Linked DNA regions of Xenopus tropicalis. The protein of the gene in region 1 binds, or shares a complex with, the protein of each later gene. Links are inferred from orthologs where the notes say so. Each region holds a gene or a part of one and is shown on either strand. Other genes may lie near its edges. The genes, in order: crcp, polr3d and polr3k.

Region 1 (10,491 bases):
ATAAAATTCTCATAACACTAAATGTATAAGAATATTTTGCATTTTTTAAATATCTCACAAAGAACTTGCAATTAAATCGATAAAAGCTAATAAAGCTATTTAATGGCAGAAATGTATGTAATTAAGTAAAATATTGTCCAATATTAAAGGGGTACTAAACAGCTGCACTGCACTGCTCAACCAAACTTTACTCAGCTGTTGATAGACTACAAATCCCAGAACACAATTCAACATATATTAAAGGTTGAGGCATGCTGGGAGCTGTAGTCCAGTAGCATCAGGGTAGTATTCTTTGAAAACTTACAAATATTTCAAAAATATTCCCCTAAATCTCCCATGTCCGATTCCGGTGTCATATAATAAAGAAAAAAATGACATAATTATCTCTAAATGTAAGATAACAGCAAGATGTCTGGCATAGTGCTGAGGATCAGCATTCTTACTGGTCAGTTCTTTTGCATTTATAATTACATTTTTTAACAGTAGAATTCTCACTGGTGAATTTTCTTGCATCTATAATTATGTTTTTTGGCAACGTCTATAGCAAAATTAGGGGGCACATTGGAACAGCATACTGGCTAGGTTTACAACCCCTTTAACATCCTCCCCCAAAAGGTTCCCCCACTGTATATTCGTTGTAATAATGAGGAGAGCACCATAAGGCAGAATTACTGCTCTTTAAATTTTATCGTCAACTTTTACAACACAACATGTTTCAGGCCCCTAAGTGCCTAGAGAGCAGCCAAGAAATGTATCAGAACTTACTTCATACATGATGGTATTGAGATTTTGCTGTCCAACACTATTCTTGTTTTTTCGTACTTCTCTCTGCTTAGCTTTTAACTCGGTAAGAAGGTGAAAAACCTTAGTGGTAACAAAAAGACTTTAATTAACAGGATTCTAAATGTGATGACCTAAGCTTCTGCATTCTGCACAGCCACAATCATCTTCTTTCACCAATTACAGTCCAAAGCTGAAAGTGTGCATGTATATGTCAATATAAGAAAGCATGATGGCTCTCTGGTAATTAGTTTAAAGAGCAAAGTAGGAAGTAGGTGCCCATTTCACCCTCACACAATTGCATTTTAAAATCTCCAAGCTACATGGTCAACAGAATTTGTTATCAAACCTTGAAAATAAAACAACCAAAAACACAGATACATATATCTCCATATGGTATGCGCCGTTCTGTTGCTCCTGCCACACTGAACAACAGAGCTGAGCAAACAAGCATCAAGAAACAACTCCTGACACTCTGGTGGACAGCACAGAAAGTGGCAGCTGGTACAAATTTAAAACTGTTAACATGATGAAAAATATGAAAGAAAGACAATTCAAGCAAACTGCAAATGTACTCAAAAGGGCATAATGAGCAATTTTATCTCAAGTTGTTTCGGAGTATACATCCCCATTAACTATTGCGTATGCCTTACACACCTGCATAAGTGCAGCAGACTTATTATCATGTTTCTACATATAACATATCATGGGTAGTACAGCTGTTTGGATCCTTAGGGTGAAGACACATGGAGCTACTTAGTAGCAGCTACTTGTCATGGCTGCAAAATGTTAGAAAATACCCTGCTATAGAGAATACTGAGAATTGCCTCTGCTAAAACACGTAGAGGCAATTATCAGTAAACAATCAGCATTCTTTGGAGCTATGACAAGTAGCTGCTTCTAGTAGCTCCGTGTCTCCACCTTTAAAGCAGACGCAAATTTTTCTGGGCTCAAAGTGAAAAAATGGAATTCTGGAGGCAGCTCTGCCCACAGCCAACATCTTTACTCACTGACTCATACACAGTCCATGGACATCTCAAACTGATCTGTGGGTTACATACAGGTAAAGCAGGCTTTACTGATGTTTCATGACGACACACTTATGAAAGGTATGCTATGTGCATATATTAAGCTCAACAAAGAAGGAATGTAATAAAAATTAACTAAAATAGTATAGGCAATTTACACTATTTTGAAAAGTATTTGGTGACCCATCCAGCAGTGGAAAAACGTGAGCATATTACACATATAACAGTATAACAGTACACAATAGATCACTATATAACTGTCTACTGAATAATTTTACATAGCACATGCAAATGTTTGTTCTTAATTGTGCATTTTAAGCCATTTATAGCTTTTATTACATTTCCCCACAAGCACTGCAATTACAATGTGATAATAATGAATACACATAATCTACCACAAACATGTTTAAATATTCCGTTTTACCAACCTCATAATTGCTCAGGAGCGCTGCATTTGCATCTTTTCTAAAAAAAAAGGGAAGGAAAAGTAATTCACCATAAGGCAAAACAAATAAACAATTCTATATGTCATTTGTTTAATCAATCATTATGGCTGGATCATTTGTACAAGGCCAACAAATGCCTATAAAACTCTTATTTAGCAACAGAAAGGTATTGAGCTTGTTTGTGATTCATAGGTCCATTTTCATTCAACTCTGTGAGCACTGAATTTAACTAACCAATAAATGGACCTCAAGCAAATAATTGCTGAGATCAGAGTTTAACCAGACGATAGCACTAGCCACAGAAAGACCTTTGGGATACAGTTTCCTTAGGTTGGTTGCTGTGAGTTACTAGACCCAAAGTTAACGCTATTACATAGTTACCATAGGTAAGATTTTTTTGGCACATCATTTGTCCTTAATTTTCTAATAAGGCCCTCTTCTATTTACATGCCAGTCTGACTTCCTAACTGCTGCTTGGCTGGTAGGGTTATTGAATTATAGCAACAAAATAGTAGTTAAAATTCCAAATCTGAGACCTGCAGAATAAAAAAGTAAAATAATAAAAAAACATAAAAAGACAAAATGCAAACTGTCTTAGAATACTGCTAACTACATCACACTCGAAGTCAAGTTGAATGCTTAATAAAATGCCCACAAAAGACACTTTGTCAGCTTCTGCTTATTTGATCTACTCTGAAGGTCTCTCAAAATCAGGTGTCTGAAAGTGCATCTATTTAAAGGAGAAGAAAAGGTAAAAACTAAGTAAGCTTTATCAGAAAAGTATGTAAATACGGCCATAAGCACTTACAGAAAAGCTGCACCGAGTCCTCTATCAAAAAAACACATGATTTCTTGTCACCGTTTTTGTAAACATGTTCTTGGGTATCTGACTAACTCTCCTAGTCCTAGAACACTATATTTATTCTGCAGAAAGCTTTACTATACTTGAGTAAAGAGCCCTAGAATCTCCCTGCGATTGTTTAAGATTGCAGCTACCATTTTATCTTGGTCTTCCTAGATTAAGCTACCAGCCTCTAGAACTGCAGCAGGAAACTAGGAAGACCAAGCTAAAATGGTAGCTGCAATCTTAAACAATCGCATGGAGATTTTAGGGCTCTTTACTCAAGTAAATCTTTCTGCAGAATAAATATAGTGTTCTAGGTGGCCCTAATGTGACAAATATATTGGCAGTAAAATGCCAAAATAACTATCCTTCTCCTTTAAATGCTTGCTGAATACATCAGAACACATATGTTATGCATGTAAGTGCATAAAAATGCTGAATGCTGTCTGGAAAAATGCAGTCAAATGTGGCACTACTTAAACGCAGATATGAAGGCTTGTTGTTACAACCAGACAGAATAATGTGGAACCAATTAAGTCACAACCTAGGTACACTCTCTAAGCCAGTGATCCCCAAACAGTGGCTCGGGGGCAACATGTTGCTCACCAACCCCTTGGATGTTGCTCTCAGTGCCCCCAAACCAGGTAGTTATTTTTGAATTCCTGACTTGGGGGCAAGTTTTGATTCAATAAAAACAAGATTTCCTACCAAATAAAGCCCCCTGTAAGCTGATAGGGCGCATAGAGGCTGCCAAATAGCCAATCTTCACCCTTATTTGGCACCTCCATGAACTTTTATGGTGCTTGTGTTGCTCTCCAAGTCTTTTTACATTTGACTGTGGCTCACAAGTAAGAAAGGTGGGGGACCCCTGCTCTAAGCTGTGTCTCATACGCACATCAAAAGCATGAATAAAGGGAAGGTTCACCCAATACACAAAAACCCAATTGAATAAAGTATAAGGTCAGCTTTGTCTACTATCTTGCCTTCAACAACATACTGCATGTTATTAATTAGTACTTTTCTTATTGTGTTCTCTTCTCTCAGTTTGGGTGCTCAGAAAGCAAAGGGAGAGGTAGGGCTTCAATTCCCCAGAGAAAAAGAATCACATGACTGCACACTTCCATGAAAACAACAATAATCTGACATTGCACAAACCTGGCACTGCCCCCATAAGATTATGTAGGCGGCATCAGCCAGAAGCATGCAGGGGTCGGCAACCCTCTCTGCATGCAGGGGTTAGCTTGCATTTTTGTTAATATTGGAGGTTATGTTAGAGATATGTTTAGAAATGTGCAATCTTTACATAGACGGTAGTTTGTGCAAAGGTAAGCGTTTCTTTAAAAGAAAATGCTTATAAGCCCCCTGTAAATATCACCTGATATAAACCTTTACTCTGTTCCACTATATATGTAATTGTAAAGTACTTACTGTCAATCAGCAAAACACATAAAAACACACATCGAAACCACATACAGCTAAGCACGTATACAATCCGGAAGTTTTGGAATGATTTCTCAGGTAACACCATGCTGCTGCCTACCCAGCTTTCACTCGCACACGTTCATTAGCAGCTCGAAAGCAAATGGCAGAAAACTCTTAAATATTTCGAAGCGTTTTAAAACAGACACATTTATAAATAACATTTCTTACACTTCCATGCTGTTTTTCACGTTGGTCAATTAAAAGCCGAGCGAAAAGTCGAGCAGCTGATGATGTCACGCCACGTGACCCTTTCAGGAACCAAACGGAGGCTGCGGAACCGCTGAAACAGGAAGTGGAAGAGTTCACCCTCCTGAAACACGTGTAGGATTCAACTTCGTTTTTGCAAGCGTTATTTGTATTCAAGTGTATGATGCGTCCCTGAGTGCTTTGAACGTCCCAAACTAAGGCAGTCTCCCAGTAGAATGAAACCTCACCAGGCTGAATATAGATAGTAATGGTGTAGTTCTTCAACCACTTTTCCTACTTCTTTTTGTACCCAGTGTGATTTCTGAAAGAACAATAACATTTTTTTTCCAAACCAATTAATAATAACAATAGTTTCTCTAACAGAATCCTGCATTAAAATCCATTTTTCAAAAACACATTTATTTTTTTAATTTCATACAGGGCTAGGAATATTCTTAATTTCCCAGGGTGCCACAGCCATGTAACGTGCACTCTGGTAAACTTCATCCACATTTTACTGCTAAGCTACAAGCTTTGGTGATTTCAACCCCCTCAGCCGCACCTCACATTATTGCTAATTGAAAACTTTTCCCAATACCCCGCCGTGATGACTTGAAATATAGTCAGCACTGGCAATTTCTGACAGTCTCTCAGGAGACTGATGTGCTTGGTTAAAAGGCAGATGTTGGCTCGCTTGCCTGGTGTTGCGCTGGAGAAGGGTGCTTTGGTTACGGCGCGACGGGAAGGCGGCCCTTTGAAAGGGCTTCGTTAGCATATGGATTCCCACAATCCATTGCATCGGCTGGGCAGCCGTAGCCACACTTGAAAGAAGCCCGTCCCACAAGGGGCCCCTTAACTTAGGCAGGGGCCCAATCAGCTTTGCGCAGTGGCAGTATTATAGCCAATGAGGTCAAACCGAGGCGTGATTATTGCTAATTGAAAACTTTTCCCAATACCCCGCCGTGATGACTTGAAATATAGTCAGCACTGGCAATTTTTGACAGTCTCTCAGGAGACTGATGTGCTTGGTTAAAAGGCAGATGTTGGCTCGCTTGCCTGGTGTTGCGCTGGAGAAGGGTGCTTTGGTTACGGCGCGACGGGAAGGCGGCCCTTGGAAAGGGCTTTGTTAGCATATGGATTCCCACAATCCATTGCATCGGCTGGGCAGCCGTAGCCACACTTGAAAGAAGCCCGTCCCACAAGGGGCCCCTTAACTTAGGCAGGGGCCCAATCAGCTTTGCGCAGTGGCAGTATCATAGCCAATGAGGTCAAACTGAGGCGTGATTATTGCTAATTGAAAACTTTTCCCAATACCCCGCCGTGATGACTTGAAATATAGTCAGCACTGGCAATTTTTGACAGTCTCTCAGGAGACTGATGTGCTTGGTTAAAAGGCAGATGTTGGCTCGCTTGCCTGGTGTTGCGCTGGAGAAGGGTGCTTTGGTTACGGCGCGACGGGAAGGCGGCCCTTTGAAAGGGCTTCGTTAGCATATGGATTCCCACAATCCATTGCATCGGCTGGGCAGCCGTAGCCACACTTGAAAGAAGCCCGTCCCACAAGGGGCCCCTTAACTTAGGCAGGGGCCCAATCAGCTTTGCGCAGTGGCAGTATCATAGCCAATGAGGTCAAACCGAGGCGTGATTATTGCTAATTGAAAACTTTTCCCAATACCCCGCCGTGATGACTTGAAATATAGTCAGCACTGGCAATTTTTGACAGTCTCTCAGGAGACTGATGTGCTTGGTTAAAAGGCAGATGTTGGCTCGCTTGCCTGGTGTTGCGCTGGTGAAGGGTGCTTCTGTTACGGCGCGGCGGGAAGGCGGCCCTTTGAAAGGGCTTCGTTAGCATATGGATTCCCACAATCCATTGCATCGGCTGGGCAGCCGTAGCCACACTTGAAAGAAGCCCGTCCCACAAGGGGCCCCTTAACTTAGGCAGGGGCCCAATCAGCTTTGCGCAGTGGCAGTATCATAGCCAATGAGGTCAAACCGAGGCGTGATTATTGCTAATTGAAAACTTTTCCCAATACCCCGCCGTGATGACTTGAAATATAGTCAGCACTGGCAATTTTTGACAGTCTCTCAGGAGACTGATGTGCTTGGTTAAAAGGCAGATGTTGGCTCGCTTGCCTGGTGTTGCGCTGGAGAAGGGTGCTTTGGTTACGGCGCGACGGGAAGGCGGCCCTTGGAAAGGGCTTCGTTAGCATATGGATTCCCACAATCCATTGCATCGGCTGGGCAGCCGTAGCCACACTTGAAAGAAGCCCGTCCCACAAGGGGCCCCTTAACTTAGGCAGGGGCCCAATCAGCTTTGCGCAGTGGCAGTATCATAGCCAATGAGGTCAAACCGAGGCGTGATTATTGCTAATTGAAAACTTTTCCCAATACCCCGCCGTGATGACTTGAAATATAGTCAGCACTGGCAATTTTTGACAGTCTCTCAGGAGACTGATGTGCTTGGTTAAAAGGCAGATGTTGGCTCGCTTGCCTGGTGTTGCGCTGGAGAAGGGTGCTTTGGTTACGGCGCGACGGGAAGGCGGCCCTTTGAAAGGGCTTCGTTAGCATATGGATTCCCACAATCCATTGCATCGGCTGGGCAGCCGTAGCCACACTTGAAAGAAGCCCGTCCCACAAGGGGCCCCTTAACTTAGGCAGGGGCCCAATCAGCTTTGCGCAGTGGCAGTATCATAGCCAATGAGGTCAAACCGAAGCGTGATTATTGCTAATTGAAAACTTTTCCCAATACCCCGCCGTGATGACTTGAAATATAGTCAGCACTGGCAATTTTTGACAGTCTCTCAGGAGACTGATGTGCTTGGTTAAAAGGCAGATGTTGGCTCGCTTGCCTGGTGTTGCGCTGGAGAAGGGTGCTTTGGTTACGGCGCGACGGGAAGGCGGCCCTTGGAAAGGGCTTCGTTAGCATATGGATTCCCACAATCCATTGCATCGGCTGGGCAGCCGTAGCCACACTTGAAAGAAGCCCGTCCCACAAGGGGCCCCTTAACTTAGGCAGGCGCCCAATCAGCTTTGCGCAGTGGCAGTATCATAGCCAATGAGGTCAAACCGAGGCGTGATTATTGCTAATTGAAAACTTTTCCCAATACCCCGCCGTGATGACTTGAAATATAGTCAGCACTGGCAATTTTTGACAGTCTCTCAGGAGACTGATGTGCTTGGTTAAAAGGCAGATGTTGGCTCGCTTGCCTGGTGTTGCGCTGGAGAAGGGTGCTTTGGTTACGGCGCGACGGGAAGGCGGCCCTTTGAAAGGGCTTCGTTAGCATATGGATTCCCACAATCCATTGCATCGGCTGGGCAGCCGTAGCCACACTTGAAAGAAGCCCGTCCCACAAGGGGCCCCTTAACTTAGGCAGGGGCCCAATCAGCTTTGCGCAGTGGCAGTATCATAGCCAATGAGGTCAAACCGAGGCGTGATTATTGCTAATTGAAAACTTTTCCCAATACCCCGCCGTGATGACTTGAAATATAGTCAGCACTGGCAATTTTTGACAGTCTCTCAGGAGACTGATGTGCTTGGTTAAAAGGCAGATGTTGGCTCGCTTGCCTGGTGTTGCGCTGGAGAAGGGTGCTTTGGTTACGGCGCGACGGGAAGGCGGCCCTTGGAAAGGGCTTCGTTAGCATATGGATTCCCACAATCCATTGCATCGGCTGGGCAGCCGTAGCCACACTTGAAAGAAGCCCGTCCCACAAGGGGCCCCTTAACTTAGGCAGGGGCCCAATCAGCTTTGCGCAGTGGCAGTATCATAGCCAATGAGGTCAAACCGAGGCGTGATTATTGCTAATTGAAAACTTTTCCCAATACCCCGCCGTGATGACTTGAAATATAGTCAGCACTGGCAATTTTTGACAGTCTCTCAGGAGACTGATGTGCTTGGTTAAAAGGCAGATGTTGGCTCGCTTGCCTGGTGTTGCGCTGGAGAAGGGTGCTTTGGTTACGGCGCGACGGGAAGGCGGCCCTTTGAAAGGGCTTCGTTAGCATATGGATTCCCACAATCCATTGCATCGGCTGGGCAGCCGTAGCCACACTTGAAAGAAGCCCGTCCCACAAGGGGCCCCTTAACTTAGGCAGGGGCCCAATCAGCTTTGCGCAGTGGCAGTATCATAGCCAATGAGGTCAAACCGAGGCGTGATTATTGCTAATTGTAAACTTTTCCCAATACCCCGCCGTGATGACTTGAAATATAGTCAGCACTGGCAATTTTTGACAGTCTCTCAGGAGACTGATGTGCTTGGTTAAAAGGCAGATGTTGGCTCGCTTGCCTGGTGTTGCGCTGGAGAAGGGTGCTTTGGTTACGGCGCGACGGGAAGGCGGCCCTTGGAAAGGGCTTCGTTAGCATATGGATTCCCACAATCCATTGCATCGGCTGGGCAGCCGTAGCCACACTTGAAAGAAGCCCGTCCCACAAGGGGCCCCTTAACTTAGGCAGGGGCCCAATCAGCTTTGCGCAGTGGCAGTATCATAGCCAATGAGGTCAAACCGAGGCGTGATTATTGCTAATTGAAAACTTTTCCCAATACCCCGCCGTGATGACTTGAAATATAGTCAGCACTGGCAATTTTTGACAGTCTCTCAGGAGACTGATGTGCTTGGTTAAAAGGCAGATGTTGGCTCGCTTGCCTGGTGTTGCGCTGGAGAAGGGTGCTTTGGTTACGGCGCGACGGGAAGGTGGCCCTTTGAAAGGGCTTCGTTAGCATATGGATTCCCACAATCCATTGCATCGGCTGGGCAGCCGTAGCCACACTTGAAAGAAGCCCGTCCCACAAGGGGCCCCTTAACTTAGGCAGGGGCCCAATCAGCTTTGCGCAGTGGCAGTATCATAGCCAATGAGGTCAAACCGAGGCGTGATTATTGCTAATTGAAAACTTTTCCCAATACCCCGCCGTGATGACTTGAAATATAGTCAGCACTGGCAATTTTTGACAGTCTCTCAGGAGACTGATGTGCTTGGTTAAAAGGCAGATGTTGGCTCGCTTGCCTGGTGTTGCGCTGGAGAAGGGTGCTTTGGTTACGGCGCGACGGGAAGGCGGCCTTTTGAAAGGGCTTCGTTAGCATATGGATTCCCACAATCCATTGCATCGGCTGGGCAGCCGTAGCCACACTTGAAAGAAGCCCGTCCCACAAGGGGCCCCTTATCTTAGGCAGGGGCCCAATCAGCTTTGCGCAGTGGCAGTATCATAGCCAATGAGGTCAAACCGAGGCGTGATTATTGCTAATTGAAAACTTTTCCCAATACCCCGCCATGATGACTTGAAATATAGTCAGCACTGGCAATTTTTGACAGTCTCTCAGGAGACTGATGTGCTTGGTTAAAAGGCAGATGTTGGCTCGCTTGCCTGGTGTTGCGCTGGAGAAGGGTGCTTTGGTTACGGCGCGACGGGAAGGCGGCCCTTTGAAAGGGCTTCGTTAGCATATGGATTCCCACAATCCATTGCATCGGCTGGGCAGCCGTAGCCACACTTGAAAGAAGCCCGTCCCACAAGGGGCCCCTTAACTTAGGCAGGGGCCCAATCAGCTTTGCGCAGTGGCAGTATCATAGCCAATGAGGTCAAACCGAGGCGTGATTATTGCTAATTGAAAACTTTTCCCAATACCCCGCCGTGATGACTTGAAATATAGTCAGCACTGGCAATTTTTGACAGTCTCTCAGGAGACTGATGTGCTTGGTTAAAAGGCAGATGTTGGCTCGCTTGCCTGGTGTTGCGCTGG
Region 2 (10,491 bases), on another chromosome or scaffold:
TGTGTGGGAAAGGGGGAGGGGGGGCTATAACTCCAACTTGCAGAGCAACAGTAAAGTGTGACTGAAGTTTATCAGAGAACAAGTCACATGGCTGTAGCACCCTGGGAAATGTAGAATATGGGTAGCGCCATATGAAATTAAATATAAAAAAAAAATCTGTTTGCGTTTTTACAAAATGGATTTAATGCAGGATTCTGCAGGAAAAAGTTCTATTAAACTGGTGCATTTTGAAAAAACATGTTTTCCAAATACAGTATTCCTTTAAATTACTATGTTGAAGTGTGTCCAGTTTGCTGTGGTTTTCTGCAAATTATGGCTCTGTACTGTGCCTCCCTTCTATCTAGCAGCTAGAAAGAGGATCAGATTGACTGTGTGTCTACCTTATTACTGCTACAATTTATGCGGTTATCAGTTTGGCAAGCTGGTGAACAAAAGGCAAAATCGAAAACCACAAATAGTAGGTTCAACTGTTTACAAGTACCATGTTGTACAAATCCTTTGAAAAACTATCCCTATAAAAGTCTACTCACCTGCAAGAATGAACAGGATGTGCCCATAGTAACATCCAGCATGACTTTGCCCAGCTTAAGCTGAACCTTGCCAGACTTGCGTACAAATAGCTTCCCAATATGGCCTTCTGACACATCCCGCAAGGTACAGCTGTCTTCTGCAGCCTTCGAGTCCTACAAGTAATTGAGAGGCAAGATTTAGAACTACTACCCGCTAACACCAGTGCATAAAAAAAGAATGTTTTGTTAACTGGAGTCCCCAGTGCAGACCTGAAAGTTTAGTGTTTGAACTGATGGAAGCAGAGGTGTGTCACTACAAGTTAAACATAAAGTACCTGTGCTGTGGAATATCGTGGTGCTATATAATGCATAATAATAGCCGAGATCAGGGGCGGGCCGAGCCGACCGGGCGCCCTAGGCAACCCGGTCGGCCACCTCGTCCCTGCACCTGTGCAGTAGCTTTATGTACCTGTCCTTTGTCCTTGACCAGTAACATATGGCCATCCTCACTCTGCACTTCAGTCTTTGTAGGCCTTGTCTCTAAACTTGGAGGCTGTCCAGGCAGAGTGTCAGGAAGTTGCACAAAAAAGAGACATTCTTCATCAGAAACCCTCAAAGATTCCAGCATCTCTGGGAAGGACACATCCTTGGTTACAGGGGGTTTCTTAACAATGGGAACTTTTGCAGAGGGCACCCCAGGCTTCCATGCACCAGCATCCTCCATTGGTTCTTCCTTTACTAGCAAGGGGAAGAGAAAGCATGTAGTGTAATGTGCATGTTGGCCCTTTAAAAGGCATATCAGCTTATTCAGATTGGTACTTTGAGCACTATACAATTAACATTAAACTTCTGTTTTTAATGGTTTTTTAGACTGCTAATACCAGGCTTTAAATTTAGCAACTATCTTTGAAGGTCAGAGTGTCAGCACTCCTGTCTGTGCACTTCCTATACATACATAAGCCTAGGGTTGCAGACTCTCAGTTAAGCCAAAAGCCTGGTATAAGTAGTTGGAAAATGCAAACATCTAAGAAACTGCTAAGATAAAAAATAACTATAAATTGCAAAAGTGCTCAGAGAAAAAGTAGTGCTAGAACCAGTATGATCTTCAATTTGTCATGAATTAATTTTAAGGTTTAATGAAAGTTTAATTTTCTCAGTAAATGTAGTCCAGTTCCATTACGGATGCTAGGTTTTTTGCTCTACATTGAGAACTTCTGCCATGGTATCTGGAGAGCTCTTTGTAAAGGAAAAGTGCAAAGACAGTTGTGTCTACAAAGGACATTACCTTTAACCTGAGAAGTATCATCTACTTCCATCTTTTCCTCTTTAAGTTGTCCTTGAATGGGCTTTATATCCTCCTCTTCATCCACTTGCCTAAAGAGCCAGCCAGAATGGGCAAGTGGGATCTGCACTGGATGGTTCTGAGAATCATTCCTGAGGCCAGGGTCATCAAGAAACTAAGAGGGAAAAAAAGACAAAAATTCTTATTCTCACTAACTTCTATGTACAACACATTTAACTACTATTTAAAAAAGTACTGTACTTTGTCTTTCATTTAAATTCTCCAGAGTAAACCATTTACCTTGTCATTTTCCAGCATGCGGAGGATCTCCTTCGTCTCCTCTTCAGTTTCTCGCTTCTCTCGTTTTATGTTAATGATGTGTGATGGGCCAAAGTCAGCAGATTCTGAAGGTCCATCCCATCCAACTATAATTTAAAGGGAGGGTACAGTCAGAACAGATGTAGATTGTACTTTTTGACACAGTTGCAAATTATGTGAAGAAGTCACTTTAGTTTAAAACAAGAAGATGAACCAAAAAGCAAACGCACCCCCAAAAAAAATATATTCAGCCATTTAGCCATTCTTGCTTGTTTCTTACATACAGGTAAGCCCAAGGGTAATAGGTCATAGCCTTAAATAATACACACACAGCAATGAGCTGTAAGGATTGTAAAGACAAATTCAATGCTCCACATTGCTGTTTCCTAAGTGTATTTATCTAGGGATGCACAGAACCCCAGATTTGGTTTGGAATCTGAACGTAATTACAGCCTTTTTTAATTTGAAATATCCGTCATGTATGGCTGAACCAAAACCAAGCCCATTATATCATATGACTGGACAATACTATTATACATCTGCTGTAAGTTTGGGGTGGGGCGAGGATTTTAACCATTAGAATATATAAAATAGGGTTTGCATTTTATTCAGGAATCTCTTGTAGTGGATTTGGTATTTGGCCAAATCTTAAAATTGTGGGTGTGGTGCATTCCTGTATGAGTCATCTGACCTGAAACACTAATGCTTTAAATGAGAATTGAAATGTAACCATTACCCCTTGCATCCCTCTGAGCTATAATCTGTGGCATTGCCACCCAGTGCTGGACACCCTGTAAGAGATCTTCAGTGGCGCCACACTCATAGGCAGTCTCCAACCCACTCCCCCCCAGCGCAATGCTGCCCTCAGCAGGGCAAGCGGTAGCAGGTGGCAACGTTTCTAGTGGCTGGGGAGGGGACCTATCATGCAGCATACAATTTATGCCTCTGGCTATAATGCATTAGGGTATCCCGTGTCTTCTAAATTGCACTATGTGCTGCTATGTGTTAAATACATTGCCATATATAAGGCAAAAATCTGCCTCACTTGAGTCGCAAACTGTCTTGTTAATTACTGTGACTGGTTCAGCTTTGTACCAAAAATGTTACATTCTGCTTTATGCCAATTATCTGGAGCTCCCAGTAAAAACCAGTTCCTTCCCATGCTTTACCTTTCTTCTTGAGCTGTTCAGCTGGTCCCTGCTCAAAGATGGAGTGACTCTGTATGACTTGTGGCTTCCCACGCCCTCTTCCTGCTCCATCTCGACGGTCCCTTCCACGCTCTGCACGTTCTACCTTAACAGACACTTCCTCCTTGGGCCTGGAAACAACACAAGGAATTGTGAAAAGAAAGTGGGGGAGACCAGAAAGAGAATGGACAGAATAGAAGCATGGGGATAAGACTACAGATAGATATAGAATAAAGCAAACGTAAAACTGTTATAAGTGAAGCATCACAAGAAAGTCAGAAAATAAAGGTGTAAAAATAGATACAGTAAAAAAAAAAAAAGAAGATAAATAGATGGGTACAACAAAGCAGGAAAGTTCCCTTTAGGTGCCATTTTCCTTACTCTTCTTTTATCTTTCTACTGATGATGTTGGGAGCAAATGTTTTCTGTAAGAGAAGAGATAGTGCAGGTCTTTAAGACATGTCAAAACTCTTATATTATTAGACATACAGAAAAAAAACGATAAAATGTATGTCCTTACAGCCTTCCCATACACTGATTAAATAACATGAAGTAGGATTTATACAAAATATCAGTGCAATTTGTATTGACCTACAATACAAGGGAGTCCGTTCTTGAAGATGAACTGATAGAGATGTTTGGCAAGAACACTAAAGGCTCATTTACAAAGCCCCCTTGCAGTGTGCAAAAAAAAAAAGGTCTGCAATCGCCCATTTTTTGCACTTTGCCCACTGTGTAGTTTAAAAAGGGTGGCTGGAGGGGCACACAGGCGTCCTTTCCTCCCGCCCCCTATCTTGTACTTAATACTGAGGTATTGGCAAGGTAGTAGCAGCACGATGTTCAGCCCAAAGTGGGGCCCATCCTGAGGCTTTGCTTGTCACTCAGCATCAAATATTTTTTTTTATCCGGCACAGAGTGCAGGGGGGCGCAAGAGACTTCTCAAATGTGCTTTTGTGCACCTCATTGCTCTTACCCCTCCATGACTGAATATGACCCGTAAAACACCTATGATATAAATGAATCTTCACTGAGAGTCCTACAGCCAAAAAAACTTAAAGGGCACCTATCACACCAATATTGTTTCCTCCACCAGAGGTGTGGCCTAATAGAGCCTGCATTCCAGTTGAGAGAAACAAGAGTTTAAAAAAAAAAAAAAAAAAAAAAAACTTCCAGCGCCGGGCTACCCTCACTGGGAGAGAGCTCCCAGTACGATCGGCTATGTTGGTCGGCGCACATGCGCGGATATCCCCGCTTACTTACTATGCACGTGTCGTAGGAGTGGTGGATGTAAATCACCCTCCTAAGTTACACACATGCGCATAATGAGTTATGTTGTCAAGTTGCGGCTCCAACATGGCTGGCCACAACGGGGGCTCCCTCCCAGCGCTGTCAGGGGCAGTTTTTAAAAGAAAGGCTATTGTTTCCCCTATTTGGTGGGGGGTGCCCTTTAAGAGCTGTGATAGACAGGGAGATTATTTGCCAAGCGACTAATCTCCCTGTCTGTCACAGCCCTAATAACCGCACCAGGGCAGTATTAAGTTAGGGTGACACATGAAGCTACTACTAGCAGCTACTTGTCATGGCTACTAAAATAGTCAATGCTGATCATTTACTGATAATTGTCTTTTTTTTTTTTTTTTTAATTCAGGCAAGTTTATTGAGAAGATTTTACATCAGTTTCAGCATATATACATCACATTTATGAGGCAGAGTTCCACAATGTAGTTTTAGTATATGACATGTTTTGCAGTAACAAAAGTTGCAACAGCATTTTAAATTACATTATAACCTTATCTTTTGTATGCACTTTCCTTTCCCTTGTCATTGCTGACTGTTTCCCTCGGATGTTGGCACATATTACAGTTACAAACATACTATCATAAAATGCTTTGAGAAAATACCGCCATAGCTCACTTAAGTGGATTTTTCTAGCCATTTTCCCCATATTTTTTCGTGTTTTTTGGGGGCTCCTCTAGTTTTATATATTAGACTTTCCATTGCACATAGGTGTTTGACTTCAGAGAGCCAATGTGAATATTTGGGGGGTGTTGAGTCTTTCCATTTCCTTGTTATTGCTTTTTTTTGCTAAAAATAAACATTCTCTGGTGACTGATAATTGTCTCTACATGTGTTTTAGCAGAGGCAATTCTCAGTACTGTCTATGGCAGGGCATTTTCTGGGGTTTAGTAGCAATGAAAAGTAGCTGCTTCTAAGTATATTCGTGTGTCTTCGCCCTTAGTGACAGTACGGCCTGGTTGAGATACATGTGATATCCAACATACATATATGTGCAGATATTAGAACTGGCAGTAGATAGTCACATTTGACCAGCCACTTCTCTGTAAGAACAGCCAATGGAAACCCACCTTTCTGACTCCGCCAAGCGTAAGATCTCGGGAGCGGATGGAAGGAAGGCGACCTGGGGTAAGAGGAGTAGAAGATCTGCGTCCCACAAGCCCCCTGCCCATTGGAGTACGCGGCCCCCCACCATCGTTGCTTGGATTACCGTCAGACATTCTGTTGGGGAGAATTAATACATGAGAATGGGGATAGGAACGTTTCCTACACCTACGTGGTGGTGTTTATGTTACTGCTTGCTTTCTATAAAACACTGTCTATATATTTATATACAAAACTGGCCACCTGTAGTGGAGGCTAAGCCCCAGGGCCACCATGAGGGATTTTAGGGCAGTGACACACAGGGAGATTAGTCACAGTGTGACAAATCTTCGTCGTCGCGGGCGACTAAACTCCCTGCAATGCCATCCCACCAGCTATAATGTAAATCGCCGGTGAGATGGCATACGCAGCACCGCGATTTGCCAAAGTTCCCTTGCAAGGAAACTTCGCGCTACTTCGGCAAATCGCGGTGGCGCATATGCCATCCCACCGCCGATTTACATTCTAGCTGGTGGGATGGGATTGCGGGGAGAAAGAATGGTCTTGAGGCGACTAATCTCCCTGTGTGCATACGCAGCACCGCTATTTGCCGAAGTTGCCTTGAGAGGAAACTTCGGGCGACTTTGGCAAATCGCGGGGCTGCATATGCCATCCCACCGCTGATTTACATTCTAGCGGGATGGTCGGACGGGATTAGTCGCCCACAACAACGAAGATTGGTTGCGTGGAGACTAATCTCCCCGTGTGTCACTGCCCTTAGGGTGAAGACACACGGAGCTACTAGTAGCAGCTACTTTTTCACGGCTACTAAATACCAGAAAATCCCCGCCATAGACAATACTGAGAATTGCCTCTGCCAAAACACACCAAGAGACAATTATCAGTAAATGATCAGCATTGTCTGTTTCTGTAGCCACAACAAGTAGCTGTTACTAGTAGCTCTGTGTGTCTTCAGCCTTAAAAGGGCCCGCTGTGCTTACCTGGATTAGTCAGGTCCCCTGCTGTCAGTGAGCTGTAGACTTCAGAAGGGAGCTGGGGAGTCTGCTTGTTCTTTCCCCGCTGCAAATACCGTAGCTCCAATGCTCCTCTCCCAAAACTGCAGCTCACTGACAGCAGAGGGCCCGGCTGATCCAAGAAAGTGCATAGTTCTCAACACCATTGCTTTACCTTACTTACACCTCCCAGAGCTGTTACTTGCTTCCGCCTTTCCACATGTCTCACACGAAATCCCGACGCCGCAAGTCTCATCACGCGAGAGTGTGACGTCACGCCTACATATAAGTGCAGGGACACGGGACGTAGCCGCCTTGTGGGAGTGGCGAGCGGACTGAGCGGAGCCCTCAAGTTGTTGGAGAGTGCTGCTGAGTCTGCTCGAACTAAATAGGAAAAAAATTTGTGTGCAAAACATGGGTGGGTAAAATGATAGGATCTTTTTAGCAACTTTGTAATTTGAGGGTAGCTGTATTTTTTTTTCTAAAAGTTTCAGGGTTCCAAAGGGCGTCAGTAAAGATCCCTGTTTGGCAGATGAGTTTGCCCACACTGACTGCCACCCACAGTTACCCAAAATCAGTTATTTTATGTTCTGATCCAGAGTTTTATATGAAGACTGGAATGATACTTTTCCATCATTTAGGGACAACATATGGGCTAATATAAAAGTATCTTGCGGGTATAATGAGTAGTCTGTAGTTTTAGGGTGCTTATTGATGGTAGTGTCCAAGAATCTGCTCACAGCAGAGCCTCTTCTCCCAATTTGGCTAAAAAAGTTTTTTGTTTTTTTAAAGAATCAGGTTTGGGGTTTTTTTTTTTTGGAGAATTATGTAAATGTTTACTCTGTCATACATTTTGGGTCAAAAATAATATGATTATTATTATTATTAAAGGAGACATATCCTATATAAATTATGAATGTACCAGTGAATTATACTCCTCTAGATATAGAAGGAATGTGCTTAAAAAAGTTGTGTTTCAGACTGATTTATTGAGAAATTCCCCCAAAACCCCACTAGCCCCGCCCATCTGTTCCACTTCCTGCTGGCTGAATTCTCTGGATGAGCTGGGGAGCCGGCGGCCCTCCGTACACTGCACTGTAGGATAGGAACCAATCAGCAGCTAGGCTGACCTGATAGGGAACTGAAGCCTGTCTGCGCTTGTGTGAGTGCAGGGCTGTGATTGGCTCTCCCCCTCCTACTGTGCTTCTGGCAGGGACCGTTAGGACTCGCCCACTCTTTATTTCAAACTTGGTCAGAGAAGAGACAGGATCTATAGGGAGCTCCAACAAAGGGGCCATTTTTACAGATAGGATTAATTTTAAACACAATGGGAAACCAGCACCGAATATTATTCATAATTGCCTACAAAATTAGGGTTTTTCCCATTTATCCAATATGTCTCCTTTAAATAGTGCAAAATCCAAATATTTGATCCCTACTCCAAATACCTTGTGTCCCAGGTCCAATATTAGTTGTGTGTAACTCGTCTGTCTTTAGACCTAACATAAGGTGAAAATGGAAAAAAAAAAAGCTTGATATTGTTTACAAAAGTACATGCTCGTTATATTTTACTACCACTCTTTTTTGTAATTATCACACCAAGTTATGTTGCTAAATTATAACACCCAAATCCACTTGAGGTCTATGAGCACCCAATGTGACCACTTCTGTGAATTTGCAGATTTTCCGTCTCCCTTCACTTTTATAAATCAGACATTATCAAAAAACATTTTTGATCAATGGATATCCAGTTAGGAAGCTTGATAGTAAACCAGCAACTTCTCAGTTTTCCTTCTCCACTTATATTTACTCAGGAATGCTAACAAATGCACGCTACGGGGGGGGAGATTTACAAATCCACGAATCCGAATCCCAAAAGGGAAAAAATTGTATTGGAAATGAAAATTTTGCGACTTTTTCATCGGCGTCGAAATTTTTCGTATTTGTCGCCACTTTATTGTATTTTGCGCGACTTTTGCGTCGCCGGTGAGATTTTTCCGTATTGAGCGATAGTAGACGGCGGAAAAACCAATCCGATTTTTTTCGCGACGGTGACTAAAAAGTTGCTGAAAATATACGGAATAACCGCAGCGGAGACGGAAAAATCGCAGGACATACGAAAAAGTCGCGATGGCGACGAAAAAGTCGCAAAAATACCGATCATTACGAAAAAACGCATTCGGACGCCTTCGGACCGTTCGTGGATTAGTAAATCTCCCCCTACATGTGCAAAATCTTAATCACTTTAATATTAAAACAATTTTACTAATACACTCACAAACAAATTGGGAAATGCTCTTATCAAGAGTCTCTCTCCATAGCTTGGGTTACTGCTCCTTCACTTCCCCCATTCGTGACCTGCGGTTATCGCTCTCTGGGCGCGGCAGCCCTTCCCGATGGGTGCATACACTTTTGTAAACAATATCACGCTATTTTTTTATATATTTATTTTTTATTTTTACCTCATAAGACCTCATCTGTTAGGTCAAAAGACAGAAGAGGGCGCTCCAGAGTTACAGACAAATAATACATTTTGGGCTACATGGCCTCCATAAGAACACAGGAAAAAGAATATAAGAAAAGAGGGGGGTAAAATTAATGGAGGTTACTACTGGTAAACTATGTATTTCATTAATCAGAGCATATCAGGGCACCACTGACTATGATGTGAAAAAAGAAAAAGTTTTTGTTTAAACTAGGGCTAGGTGGAATGAAGGAATCCTAGGTAGAAAGGCTTCTTTGGGCACATAGAGACAGAGAATTGGTCTTAAGTTTAGCTGCCAGAGAGGTAACCGCTGTGTCCATCATAAAATGCTTTTGGGGCCACAGTGTGTTTGTTGTTCAGCTACGTATATAGGGGTATATTTTTATTAATTCAGTGTTTTTTAGGGTGTGGCTGCAAAGTGAGCATGGCTAAAATTTTCACTTCCACAGTACATGCAGCAGTTAAAGGGGTTGTTCATCTTTGAGTTAACTTTTAGCATGATGAGAGTAAAGTTCTGAGACAATTTGCAGTGGATGTTAATTTTTTATTATTTGTAGTTTGTTAGTTATTTGACTTTTTGTTCAGCAACTATCTGGTTGCTAGGGTCTAAATGACCTTAGCAACCAGGGAGTGGTTTGAATGAGAGACTGGTATAGGAATAGGGGAGGACCTGAATAGGAAAAAAAAGCTATAAACTGTAGCCTTGCCAAGCAATATTTTTTTTGCCGCTTTCCACAAGTTTTTTCTCCTTTTCTTTATCCAACCTCTTTATTCTCCTAGTCTCTTTTATTTACATGCTAACATCTATTCTTCCATCTATTTCTCCTGTTTCTTCCCATTCAGAAATAGGGAATGAGCATGAAGTAGGCCAAATGGTCAGGAGCAGGAGGGCCCACTGACACCTGGGCCCACCGGGAGTTTTCCTGGTATCCTGGTGGGCCAGTCCGACACTGGTCACGTATGTATGTATGTATATGTTTATTTATAAAGCACTTCTTATGTACGCAGCGCTGTACAGTAGAATAGATTAATACAAACAGGGGGTTATTAAGATAATAATAGATAAATACACAGTATAACAATAAATACAAATAAATAAATACAAGATACAGTTGCAATAAGTTAAGAGTCAAAGACACAAGAGGATGGAGGTCCCTGCCCCGTAGAGCTTACAATCTAGACGTGAAGCTGTTCCTCGGCTACTTCTCTGCCTGCACATTTTTCACGGGTGGAGAAAGGACCGATGCTTGAAAATGAATTTCTCGTTTTCATGGCGAAATTCATGCTGCACACAGATCGGCGTAGTGCACGTTAGTGC
Region 3 (10,491 bases), on another chromosome or scaffold:
TTTGCTTCTTTGTGCAGAGTGAAGCCCCGACCCCACTTCCTGTTTTGGTCTCTCATCAAGAAAAAAAAAAAAACGCTGCTAATGCACAGACTGGCTCCTGCTGCCTCCAGGCATGCCCAGAAGGCTCTCCAGGTCCACTAGAGTAGTGGAACTGAAGAGAAAACTGAACAAGAAGTGGGGGGCGGGGCTTCACTAATGCTGGGACAAAATGCTGGGACAAAGGTAGGTAAGTAGGTAATTCTGGAGGTTGTTTAGAGTAATTTTACTGATAGAAAAAAAAAAAAGGCTTATTCTTTAAGGTATTGTAGGGAGGTAGTGCTGGGTCCCTGCACTTACCCCCCTCCTGCTGCTGTTCCCTGTAGGGGAGCTGGCACTGAGACTTTGTGCTGTGAGCTGCTGCCTAGCAACAAGGTGAACAGCAAGCTCAGGGCTGCCGGAAGTTGCAAAGCAGCCTGGGAGAGGAAGTCAGTGGGAGGAGAGAAAAAGCCCCAGAACTCCAGAAGCTGCACGTGGGCTCAGAGAGAGGAGCAGCACAAGAAGCTGGCCTTTGGAACAGGCTGGTACAGGGAAGGCAGACCCTGTACCTGGAGAGACAGAGATCCTGTGAGGAGTCCTGACTGGAGGAACAAACACCTGCAGGGGAATCCCATCTGAGTAGCTAAAGGGGCTAGTAGTCGCACTGCATGGCTGTGAGTGCTGGACTCGCCTGAAGATTCTGTGTGAATCACCCAAAGAGATTCCTGGAGTGAGTATCATTAAAGTGAAAGTAATAAAGGAGCGCTTGAAGATTTAAACTATATAAACTGTTTCTTTTGGGACTGAGCTAAAGGACTGTACATAGTTAGTGAGACAGCTTGCGCTGGCAAAGCTAGTTAGTAAGGCCCTTATTGCCACTTGGATAGGAGTGTTATCTGTATTAGTTTCCCCTTTATTTCAGATAAAAGTTATTTCGTTTATCAAGTACTGTGTGTGCATTATTATTGTTCCTAGTGGGGCCACCCGTAGGTGCACTCCCGTATCCCACTAGGTGGAGGCACTGCGCTAATAAGTACCAGGTACCCAGTCTCTCCCAATACCACTGCGGAGTGATTCAGGTTAGTCCCGTGCCATCAGGTAAGCGCCACTCGTGGTGTGTAACACTGTCAAAAGTGCCAGAAGTGGGGAAGATAGACATTTTGGAGGCACTGCTGAGATTCGCTGGGACCTGGTTGCACAGAAAGTGAAGCAAGATGGCGTCATCTACTGAGAGTCCCCAGAGTGTTCTGGACTGGTGCAAGAGTTTGGGCCTAAACCCGAAAAAGACTGCTGTAGTGGGCCCTATGATACCAAAAACAAAAGAGGAATTTATTTACAAGATCCTAGATGCAGATGGATCTATTTATAGACCTAGAGTGGTAGCTTCGCGACGAGACCCAGATGGCATCCTCTTAAATGTGCTTGTGGATAGTCCTGGTGAGATTAACAGAGAAACATGTGCACGTGGTGTGCAGGCGGAAGACCATGGTTACTGGCAAATTGTCTTACCGGATGTCCCTGAGGAGAAGGAACTTAGTGACAGTGAGGATGAAGTGGGAGGTGATCTGGAGAACCCAAATCCCCTGTGCAGTGGCACCCCACAGATACCTGCTGCTGGTCACAGCCCAGTGACTAAAAGACTGTTTGATGTGACACCTGAGACAAAGTTGAAATACACTGCATCATGTGAAAGCTTGAACTCTGCTGGGAGGAGCCGACCTCTAAGTGATGTTGTTGAGGCAGCTCAGCTGGTGGAAGTCTTGGCCCAAGTCGGTGAGAATTGGAGACAGCTGGCATACAATGGAAATTATAAGAGACTAAAAATATTCTCAGGTATGGAACCTACTCCTCCAGGTGAAGAGGCCTTTGAGGCCTGGAGAGATGCTGCTTTGGTTGCTATTACCGATTGGCCTGGCTCTGGCCCTGCTTTATGTCGCAAGATCCAGGAGAGTTTGCGAGGGCCTGCATTGGACCTAATTAAGCTCCAACGAGAGGTGTGCCCACAAGATGGTCCTGAGAAGTTGATAGACGTACTGGAAGATACATATGGACCGGTGGAAGATGAAATTGAAATGTTGTACAAATTTCAGTCTTGCATGCAGAAAGAAAAAGAGAATCTGTCTGAGTACTTGAAGCGACTGCAGCAAATGCTAAAATTACTTGTTTGCCGAAGAATCATTGCTACAGATCGTGTTGATTCTATGAGGCTACAACAGTTATTCAGAGGGGCTTTATCTATGGACCCCACAGCTGTGATGTTGAGATCTTTCTACAGAGGAAAGAAAGAACCAACTTATCAGGAGCTGATCCGTGAGATCCGAAAGGAGGAAGTTAATGTTCTGCGACGAGAGAAGAAAAGACGTGGTTCTGAAAGGACATCCAGTGATTCGCAGAAAGCGGAAGAGATTGCCGAGTTAAAAAAACAGGTTGCTCAGCTCAAGGCTCGTGTGTCCGAAAAGGAAGAGGGGTCAACTATGTCTAGACCCTCTTCATTTCCTAAAGCAGGTGGTGCTCGCGGTGACCCACCAAAGTGCTTCCGTTGTGGCCGGTTGGGCCATATATCCCCACACTGTCCGACGCAACGTGAAAATGCTGCAGCTACAGAAGTTATTTCATATGGCTGTGCTGTGAGGAAGCCACCCCAAAAGAGGTATCGGAAGAGACGTAATCAGGTGAGGTGTTACACCTGTGGTTGGTACGGTCATACTTCCCACACCTGTGACTGGGGACGGAATGAAGACTTCACTGATGTATATGTGACATCTTTCCCATGTGAAGTGAATATTTGTGAAGAGAAATCCTGTGGCACGAGGATGGTCTCTGAGCACTCTGGCACCCCCAATAAAAGTAAGAGACTGGGCCTGGGAATGCGTAGACCTTCAGGCAGGGGAAGTGTCAGGGCAGTTAGTGAGGAAGCTTTCCCCTGTGTATCTCCCCCAAAGGTTAGGGAGAATAAGAATGGTGAGAAAGGGCAAGCGAGGACGTTGCCCATTCAAGCAGGGGGAGAATGTAGGGAGGTAGTGCTGGGTCCCTGCACTTACCCCCCTCCTGCTGCTGTTCCCTGTAGGGGAGCTGGCACTGAGACTTTGTGCTGTGAGCTGCTGCCTAGCAACAAGGTGAACAGCAAGCTCAGGGCTGCCGGAAGTTGCAAAGCAGCCTGGGAGAGGAAGTCAGTGGGAGGAGAGAAAAAGCCCCAGAACTCCAGAAGCTGCACGTGGGCTCAGAGAGAGGAGCAGCACAAGAAGAAGCTGGCCTTTGGAACAGGCTGGTACAGGGAAGGCAGACCCTGTACCTGGAGAGACAGAGATCCTGTGAGGAGTCCTGACTGGAGGAACAAACACCTGCAGGGGAATCCCATCTGAGTAGCTAAAGGGGCTAGTAGTCGCACTGCATGGCTGTGAGTGCTGGACTCGCCTGAAGATTCTGTGTGAATCACCCAAAGAGATTCCTGGAGTGAGTATCATTAAAGTGAAAGTAATAAAGGAGCGCTTGAAGATTTAAACTATATAAACTGTTTCTTTTGGGACTGAGCTAAAGGACTGTACATAGTTAGTGAGACAGCTTGCGCTGGCAAAGCTAGTTAGTAAGGCCCTTATTGCCACTTGGATAGGAGTGTTATCTGTATTAGTTTCCCCTTTATTTCAGATAAAAGTTATTTCGTTTATCAAGTACTGTGTGTGCATTATTATTGTTCCTAGTGGGGCCACCCGTAGGTGCACTCCAGGATCCCACTAGGTGGAGGCACTGCGCTAATAAGTACCAGGTACCCAGTCTCTCCCAATACCACTGCGGAGTGATTCAGGTTTGTCCCGTGCCATCAGGTAAGCGCCACTCGTGGAGTGTAACACTGTCAAAGGTGCCAGAAGTGGTGAAGATAGGGTTACAGTATTTCCCCTTAAAGTTTGTCAAATAAGTATCTAGCGGTCAGAACTCCCTATGTATTAATATATATTCAAATGTATTTATTTAGATATTATTTATGAAAGTGTTAGGACACATTTTATAATATATATTTATGATATTAGTGTGCTTTAGCAAGGTAATGCACTTCCACAGGGGAAGTGATTGTGCTGTGGTGTTCTGGGTATTGTGAATTTAGGGTTAAAAGTGTGCCCTTCTATGATGATTTGTTCCCAGAAGGGTAATAGCCAAAAAGGAAGAAAAGCAAGACCTTGGCCACAAACTAGCAAAAATCAGACAAAAAAAAAAATCACAGGTCATATGCGTATATTCAAATGTTCATTTTGGGGGGTGGGGGTAGCAGGTGTATCTATTTACTATGCATTTTATTTAGTATTTATCATAAAACATAAATGATAAGATCACCTTTTTAACTTTGTAAGTCTATTAAACTTACACAATTTAGAGCTAAAAGCCCCAGCCATTACCAGAATATGTTGTTAGCAATTTATACAGATTCATCCCGCACTTAAAAATCAGCGCATTGTACTGTTGCTAATGTAATGTTATCTGCCAATTAGCAATGCTTGGCATACACAAGGCATAAAAAGGCTTCGTAGCCACCAGGACTACACTTACGCCGCTTAAAACCATATTTCTATCACTTCAGAAGACCTCATTATACCTTGCGATTAACGTTGTGCACATAAGGGCAGGTATTACAGGCAAACCTGTAGCACTTCTGTCCCTCCTCCACGATCAGCACATTCCCACACGTCGGGCAAAATAGCAACATTGCTGCTAACAGATTAGCTCAAACTTCGCATCAACCACTTCATCCTCCAGACGCCAGTACCGCTGCCTAAGCAGAATGATCACCACGCGTTTGCCCTAGCCTCGCATTCACCTACATTACATCTTATTGCGCACGTTTCCGCCCGGTGATGACGTCTTTAATGGGCGCCCTAGAAATCTGCGACAGTTCCATTTGTAACTTGAATGAAACGGTGTGAACTAAAGGTGGGTAGTGGAAATTGCGTTGAAAAACTTAACTCGAAATTCTAAATTTCTACATTTAAGTCCAGCTCCCAAAAACTGATAACACGAGAAGAGCAATTTTTGCAAAGCAAAAGCAGAACTAGAAGTCTTGCAGCCATTTAAGTTGAAAAGGAGAAAAGGCACAGGTTTGGATATCATATAACATATATGCTCTGTAATAAAATGCAGTGGTGGTATATTCGTGTTAATCTGGTATCTGCTGTGTATCCTGTGCCTTTCTCCTTTTTTTATCTTGAAGTGCTTCCTCCATGGCTGCATAGAAGCTTGTTTATATAAACTATTTATATTCTTATTTATATACGGCTGATGCCGCATGGAAACCCGCATGCAGATAATCAGTCCCTCCGCTGACAGCCTCCTACCTTGCCTGCACCAGAAACTATTGGGCTGGCCTGGGTGCAGGCACACATGGCAGATATCAGCAAAGAAACTGTAAATTTAGCATTTTAGAGTGGATATTCATATTGTATGCTTGCACCTGGGCCAACGCAGTGGTTTGACCTGGAAAAGTAGGAGGCTGATGCCCAAGGAACTGATTCTTGGCCTGTGGTTTTTCATGTGCTGAGAATCAACCCCACATGGTATAAGCATTACAGTACTTATGTACGAAGCACTGTACAGCAGAGCATCTAATTGATAGAACCAGGGCCACCATCAGAAATCGCGTTCTTATAGTAAAACGGTGGTGTGTATTTCTTTTTCTCAGGCTTTGACCAGTCTCTCCTATATACAGTCCTCCTGTTCAGTATCTAGTGCACTGTATTAAGTACACCATATTGGAAGAAGAACAGTTGTACTGACCATGGATGTTGTATTCCTCTAATGTGTCTGAAATCTGAATTACAGATGTGTGGGCAGGTTTTGCATTGTTTTTTTGCCACAGGGATAAGTTCCTTTTTTGTTGGGTTGAATTAAGGCACTTCTTGTTATTAGTTGTTTTAGGTTTGGGGGCTGCCTGAATGCCAGAAGTGGTGGGTCTGGGAATATGTTTTGGAGCCTCTCATCCTTTTGAGGTGTACACTGTAGATCCTTGGCTATTTTTCTGAGGGTCTTTTGTTGGGGATCGTATGTGACAACTAGAGGAATTCAATTTATTTCTGTTTTTTGTTTGTATTGTAGAAGTTGACTTCTGGGAATCCTGGTGGCTGTATGGATATATTGATCCACAATCCTTGGGTTGTAGCCCCTGTTAATGAAATCTGCCATGAGTGTTCTTAGGTGGTGGTCCCTTTCAGTAGCATCAGAACATATTCGATTATATCGTAGAGCCTGGCTGTAGATTATGGAGTGTTTAGTGTGGTCAGGGTGAAAGCTATCATAAATTAGATATGATGGTTTATCCGTTGGTACAAAGTATAATAATAAATAGAAATTAATACAAGGTACAGTTGCTTTAAAGGGCACCTATCACCCCTATATTGTTAAGGTGCCCTTAAAAGCAACTGTACCTTGTATTCACTACCAGTTCCCAGTTTATGCATGTGCTCCAGAGCTTTCAACCCCAGGAGATTGTCTACTGGGGAACTATTGCAGTGCACTGCTAATAACCTGTGCGTGTGCTATTTGATGTCATTGCAAATACACACAATATGGGGCCCATTTATCAATGTACGATGGTTTACGATTACAAAAAAATGGTATTTTTTCAAACTTTTAGAACTCTGCGTATTTTCTACGATATTTTCGTTTATTTCTGTGACTTGTTCGTACTTTGTGATAATTTGTACGAAAGTTTCGTAATTCATTCAAGCTTCGGTATCGTGACGTTCCTTTGGCCAGGTTGGAGCTGCAGAGTGCCATTGATTCCTATGGGTGGCTTCCAAAAACATGCACTGAAGGTTCAAAGTCACACAAAGATTTTCGCGCCATTTACGATTGTTTGGATATGAAAATTTCGTAACTTTTGGATCGTACCACGATCTATACCACATTCTGAACATTTCCACACATCAGAAATTATCGTTAAGTATACGAATTTTCGCAAATCGTATTTTAACACAATCTAAATTTGTACATTCATAAATGGGCCCATATGTGTGATATTGCAGAATGCTTACTGAACATCCACAGTGAGCATTAGGGAAATATCAAGTGCTATTGGGATATAGCGAGAGACGGCTCTGGTTCTCCAAGAGGTAGTCTTTAGTTCTCTCTTGAAGGAACAGTAATGCCAAAAATGAAAGTGTATTAAAGTATTTAAACTATAATGTACTGTTACCCTGCACAGGTCAAGTTGTGTATTTGCTAAAGTAATGGTACTATAGCTTATATAAATAAGCTGCTGTGTAGCCATGGGGGCAGCCATTCTACCTGGAAAAAAAGAGAAAAGGCACAGGTTACATAGTTACATAGAGTTGAAAAAAGACCAGAGTCCATCAAGTTCAACCCATCCAAGTAAACCCAGCACACACAACCCACACCTACCAATCTATATACTCACATACATAAACTATATATACAACCACTAATACTAACTGTAGATATTAGTATCACAATAGCCTTGGATATTCTGCTTGTTCAAGAACTCATCCAGGCCCCTCTTAAAGGCATTAACAGAATCTGCCATTACCACATCTCTAGGAAGGGCATTCCACAACCTCACTGCCCTCACCGTGAAAAACCACCTACGCTGCTTCAAATGGAAGCTCCGTCCCCTTTAATCTAAAGGGGTGACCTCTGGTGCGTTGATTGTTTTTATGGGAAAAAAGAACATCCCCCATCTGCCTATAATCCCCTCTAATGTACTTGTACAGAGTAATCATGTCCCCTTGCAAGCACCTCTTTTCCAGAGAAAACAACCCCAACCTTGACAGTCTAACCTCATAGTTTAAATCTTCCATCCCCTTAACCAGTTTAGTTGCACGTCTGCACTCTCTCCAGCTCATTAATATCCTTCTTAAGGACTGGAGCCCAAAACTGCACTGCATACTCAAGGTGAGGCCTTACCAGGGACCTATAAAGAGGCAAAATTATGTTTTCATCCCTTGAGTCAATGCCCTTTTTTATACAAGACAGCACTTTATTTGCTTTAGTAGCCACAGAATGACACTACTCAACGATATGGAAATCCGGAGCGCATAAATAAGGGAAAAAAAAAAAACAAAAACAAAGGAAAAATAATGGTGTGGCAACGTTTATATAAGGTGAAACCTTAACCCCGTATAAAGTGTTGCTTGTGCTCAATAGATTAACATTCACACCAGGGTGCAGTACCACTAACTGCTTACCAGATGGCAGTGTTGTTGAAGCAAAACAAACATGATGTATTCATTTGCAGAATGTAGCCAAATGAACGGATATTGTATCCTTGAAGTGGAACGCAACTGTATCAACGTGCAGACCAAGGATGGTTATCCTCTTGCAGGCTGTGGCTGTAACCTCAATGAGGCACACAAAGAGAAGAACCGCCACTGGTGCAATATTATTTATTAAAAAACAACTGCATAAAGAATAAAACTTACAAAAGTAGTGTGATACAGGAGCTCAATGTCCACAAAAGCCCAACGCGTTTCGTGTACTTGTCGGTACACTTCCTCAGGAGCAAAGATCAAATGGTCCCAAATCACTAGTACCCAGCCTTATATAGCTCTGATACAAAGTATCTATGCCTCGTGTAAAGCTCCTGTCTGACGTTAATGATGTCATCAGGTGTAACCCTTTCGGTATCATCTAAACTATCTACTGATCATTGGTATTAGTAAGCTCATAGATATGTGTAGCGATCAGCAAAACAAGGGTAATCCTAGAGTGCCGGGCTCCGGGCCACATCAGGGTATTGAGGGCTGGATAATAGACTCGGGATGTGTATAGTGTCATGATGGTGCCGAGTCTATTTACACAAACATTTGGTTCACGTAAGATTGGATACTTCATCACATCTGAGCGCTGAGGACTTTTGGTATTGTTTTTTTACCTCACTGCAAACAGAATGACACTGCCTGGAATTAGACAACTTGTTATCAACAAAAACCCCTAGATCCTTCTCCATTAAGGAAACCCCCAACACACTACCATTCAGTAGATAGTTTGCGTTTATATTATTTCTACCAAAATGCATAACTCTGCACTTATCAACATTGAACCTCACCTTCCAGTTTGCTGCCCAGTTTTCCAATTCTGTCAAATCGCTCTGCAAAGCGGCAACATCCTGCATGGAACTTTTTGCATAATTTTGTGTCATCAGCAAAAATAGAAACAGTATTGTCTATGCCCACCTCCAGGTCATTAATAAACAAGTTAAAAAGCAAAGGACCAAGGACTGACCCCTGCGGTACTCCACTAACCACACTGGTCCAATTAGAAAATGTTCCATTTACCACCACTCTTTGTAATCTATCCTTCAGCCAGTTCTCTATCCAATTACAAATATTATGTTCTAGGCCAATATTCCTCAATTTGATCATTAACCTACTGCAGATAACAGATAAGCTCTGTAGAATATAATGGGGCTTTATCTGCTATCTGCTTTGTTTATATAAACTATAGTAGTCTTTCTGAGGCAAACACACCAGGTGTACCAGCACAGGGCAACAGTACATAATATAGTAATTATATTTATACACTTTCATTTTTTGGTGTTACTGTTCCTTTAAGGAATTCCAGAAAAGAAGGAAGGTTTAAGGTGGGAAATGAGGAAAGAAGGGCTTTGAAGGTTTTAAGAAGGAGTTATTCTTTGTTTTATGGCAAGCCATGATAAGGATTTCAGGGGGGGGAGCTATACCATTTTGGATGAGAGGAGGAGAATTCTGGCAGCAGTATCTAATACAGACTGTAGGGGGGAGAGAGCCCAGGTAGTAGCAGGTTGCAGTAGTCCAGTTGTGATAGGTGCATGCATGAACTATAGTAGTCTTTCTGAAGCAAACACACAACTTACCAGTGGCAGTAGTATGTTTTTTCAGTATGTTTTTATTTAGATTTTCAATTTGAGACAAATAAAAAACAAAATAAAGTAGATGAACATAAAGTATACAAATGTAGTGTGTTGTTAGTTTACAAAACCAGTTTCATAGGATGTCATATATCTGGGTTACACATACATATCTGGGTAATAGCAACGTTGTCATAATTCTTTATATTTTAATGATTTTAAACCACTTTCTTTGTTGGAGTTTCTGGTTCTTTTATAATGTCACATTCAGAATCTGAGGTTGGGAACTTGAGCTTATAAATGCTAGTTGTGTCATTCTAAAAATTCATGGTCCTTGTTTTAAAGACACCTCTGAGCTGCATGTCTCCACATACTTTTTAGAATGGTGCCCTTCTGTAGGAGAATAAGCCAGCTAATAAAAACTTAAAAAACCTTTAAAAATAAATTGCTGGTGGTATATATTTACAAACTCTTTATCTCTTAACTGCTATGTATTTTTTATTGCTAAAAGGATGAACTAACTTGGACAGTTTTTCCTTTTTCAACATTATCTGAAAGGTGATGGATGTAAAGACTGCAAATGAGTGTGAAAATGATGATGTAGAGCAGAATCTTTCATACGAGGTAAAACAAGATGTAGATGAGGAATT

What was found.
Region 2: crcp (region 1) and polr3d share a complex: the UniProt entries of both Homo sapiens proteins name them as parts of the RNA polymerase III complex. The link is inferred for Xenopus tropicalis from reciprocal best matches to the Homo sapiens genes CRCP and POLR3D.
Region 3: crcp (region 1) and polr3k share a complex: the UniProt entries of both Homo sapiens proteins name them as parts of the RNA polymerase III complex. The link is inferred for Xenopus tropicalis from reciprocal best matches to the Homo sapiens genes CRCP and POLR3K.

The regions. Positions count from the first base shown.
Region 1 is NC_030678.2:97,815,146-97,825,636, forward strand, and holds the start of crcp (DNA-directed RNA polymerase III subunit RPC9), read right to left. Parts: upstream 4,819-10,491; 5' UTR 4,757-4,818; coding exon 4,749-4,756; intron 4,725-4,748; exon of another isoform or gene 4,527-4,724; intron 2,274-4,526; coding exon 2,237-2,273; intron 865-2,236; coding exon 766-864; intron 1-765. UniProt on the Homo sapiens protein: DNA-dependent RNA polymerase catalyzes the transcription of DNA into RNA using the four ribonucleoside triphosphates as substrates.
Region 2 is NC_030679.2:129,687,639-129,698,129, reverse strand, and holds the start of polr3d (DNA-directed RNA polymerase III subunit RPC4), read right to left. Parts: upstream 6,925-10,491; 5' UTR 6,864-6,924; intron 5,814-6,863; 5' UTR 5,813-5,813; coding exon 5,663-5,812; intron 3,722-5,662; coding exon 3,678-3,721; intron 3,428-3,677; coding exon 3,279-3,427; intron 2,217-3,278; coding exon 2,092-2,216; intron 1,967-2,091; coding exon 1,795-1,966; intron 1,248-1,794; coding exon 979-1,247; intron 684-978; coding exon 531-683; intron 1-530. UniProt on the Homo sapiens protein: DNA-dependent RNA polymerase catalyzes the transcription of DNA into RNA using the four ribonucleoside triphosphates as substrates.
Region 3 is NC_030685.2:40,336,654-40,347,144, reverse strand, and holds the start of polr3k (DNA-directed RNA polymerase III subunit RPC10), read right to left. Parts: upstream 4,746-10,491; 5' UTR 4,712-4,745; coding exon 4,601-4,711; intron 746-4,600; exon of another isoform or gene 723-745; intron 1-722. Other genes in the region: snrnp25 (U11/U12 small nuclear ribonucleoprotein 25 kDa protein), read left to right, coding at 4,915-4,935, 10,400-10,491. UniProt on the Homo sapiens protein: Core component of RNA polymerase III (Pol III) which synthesizes small non-coding RNAs using the four ribonucleoside triphosphates as substrates. Can mediate Pol I proofreading of the nascent RNA transcript.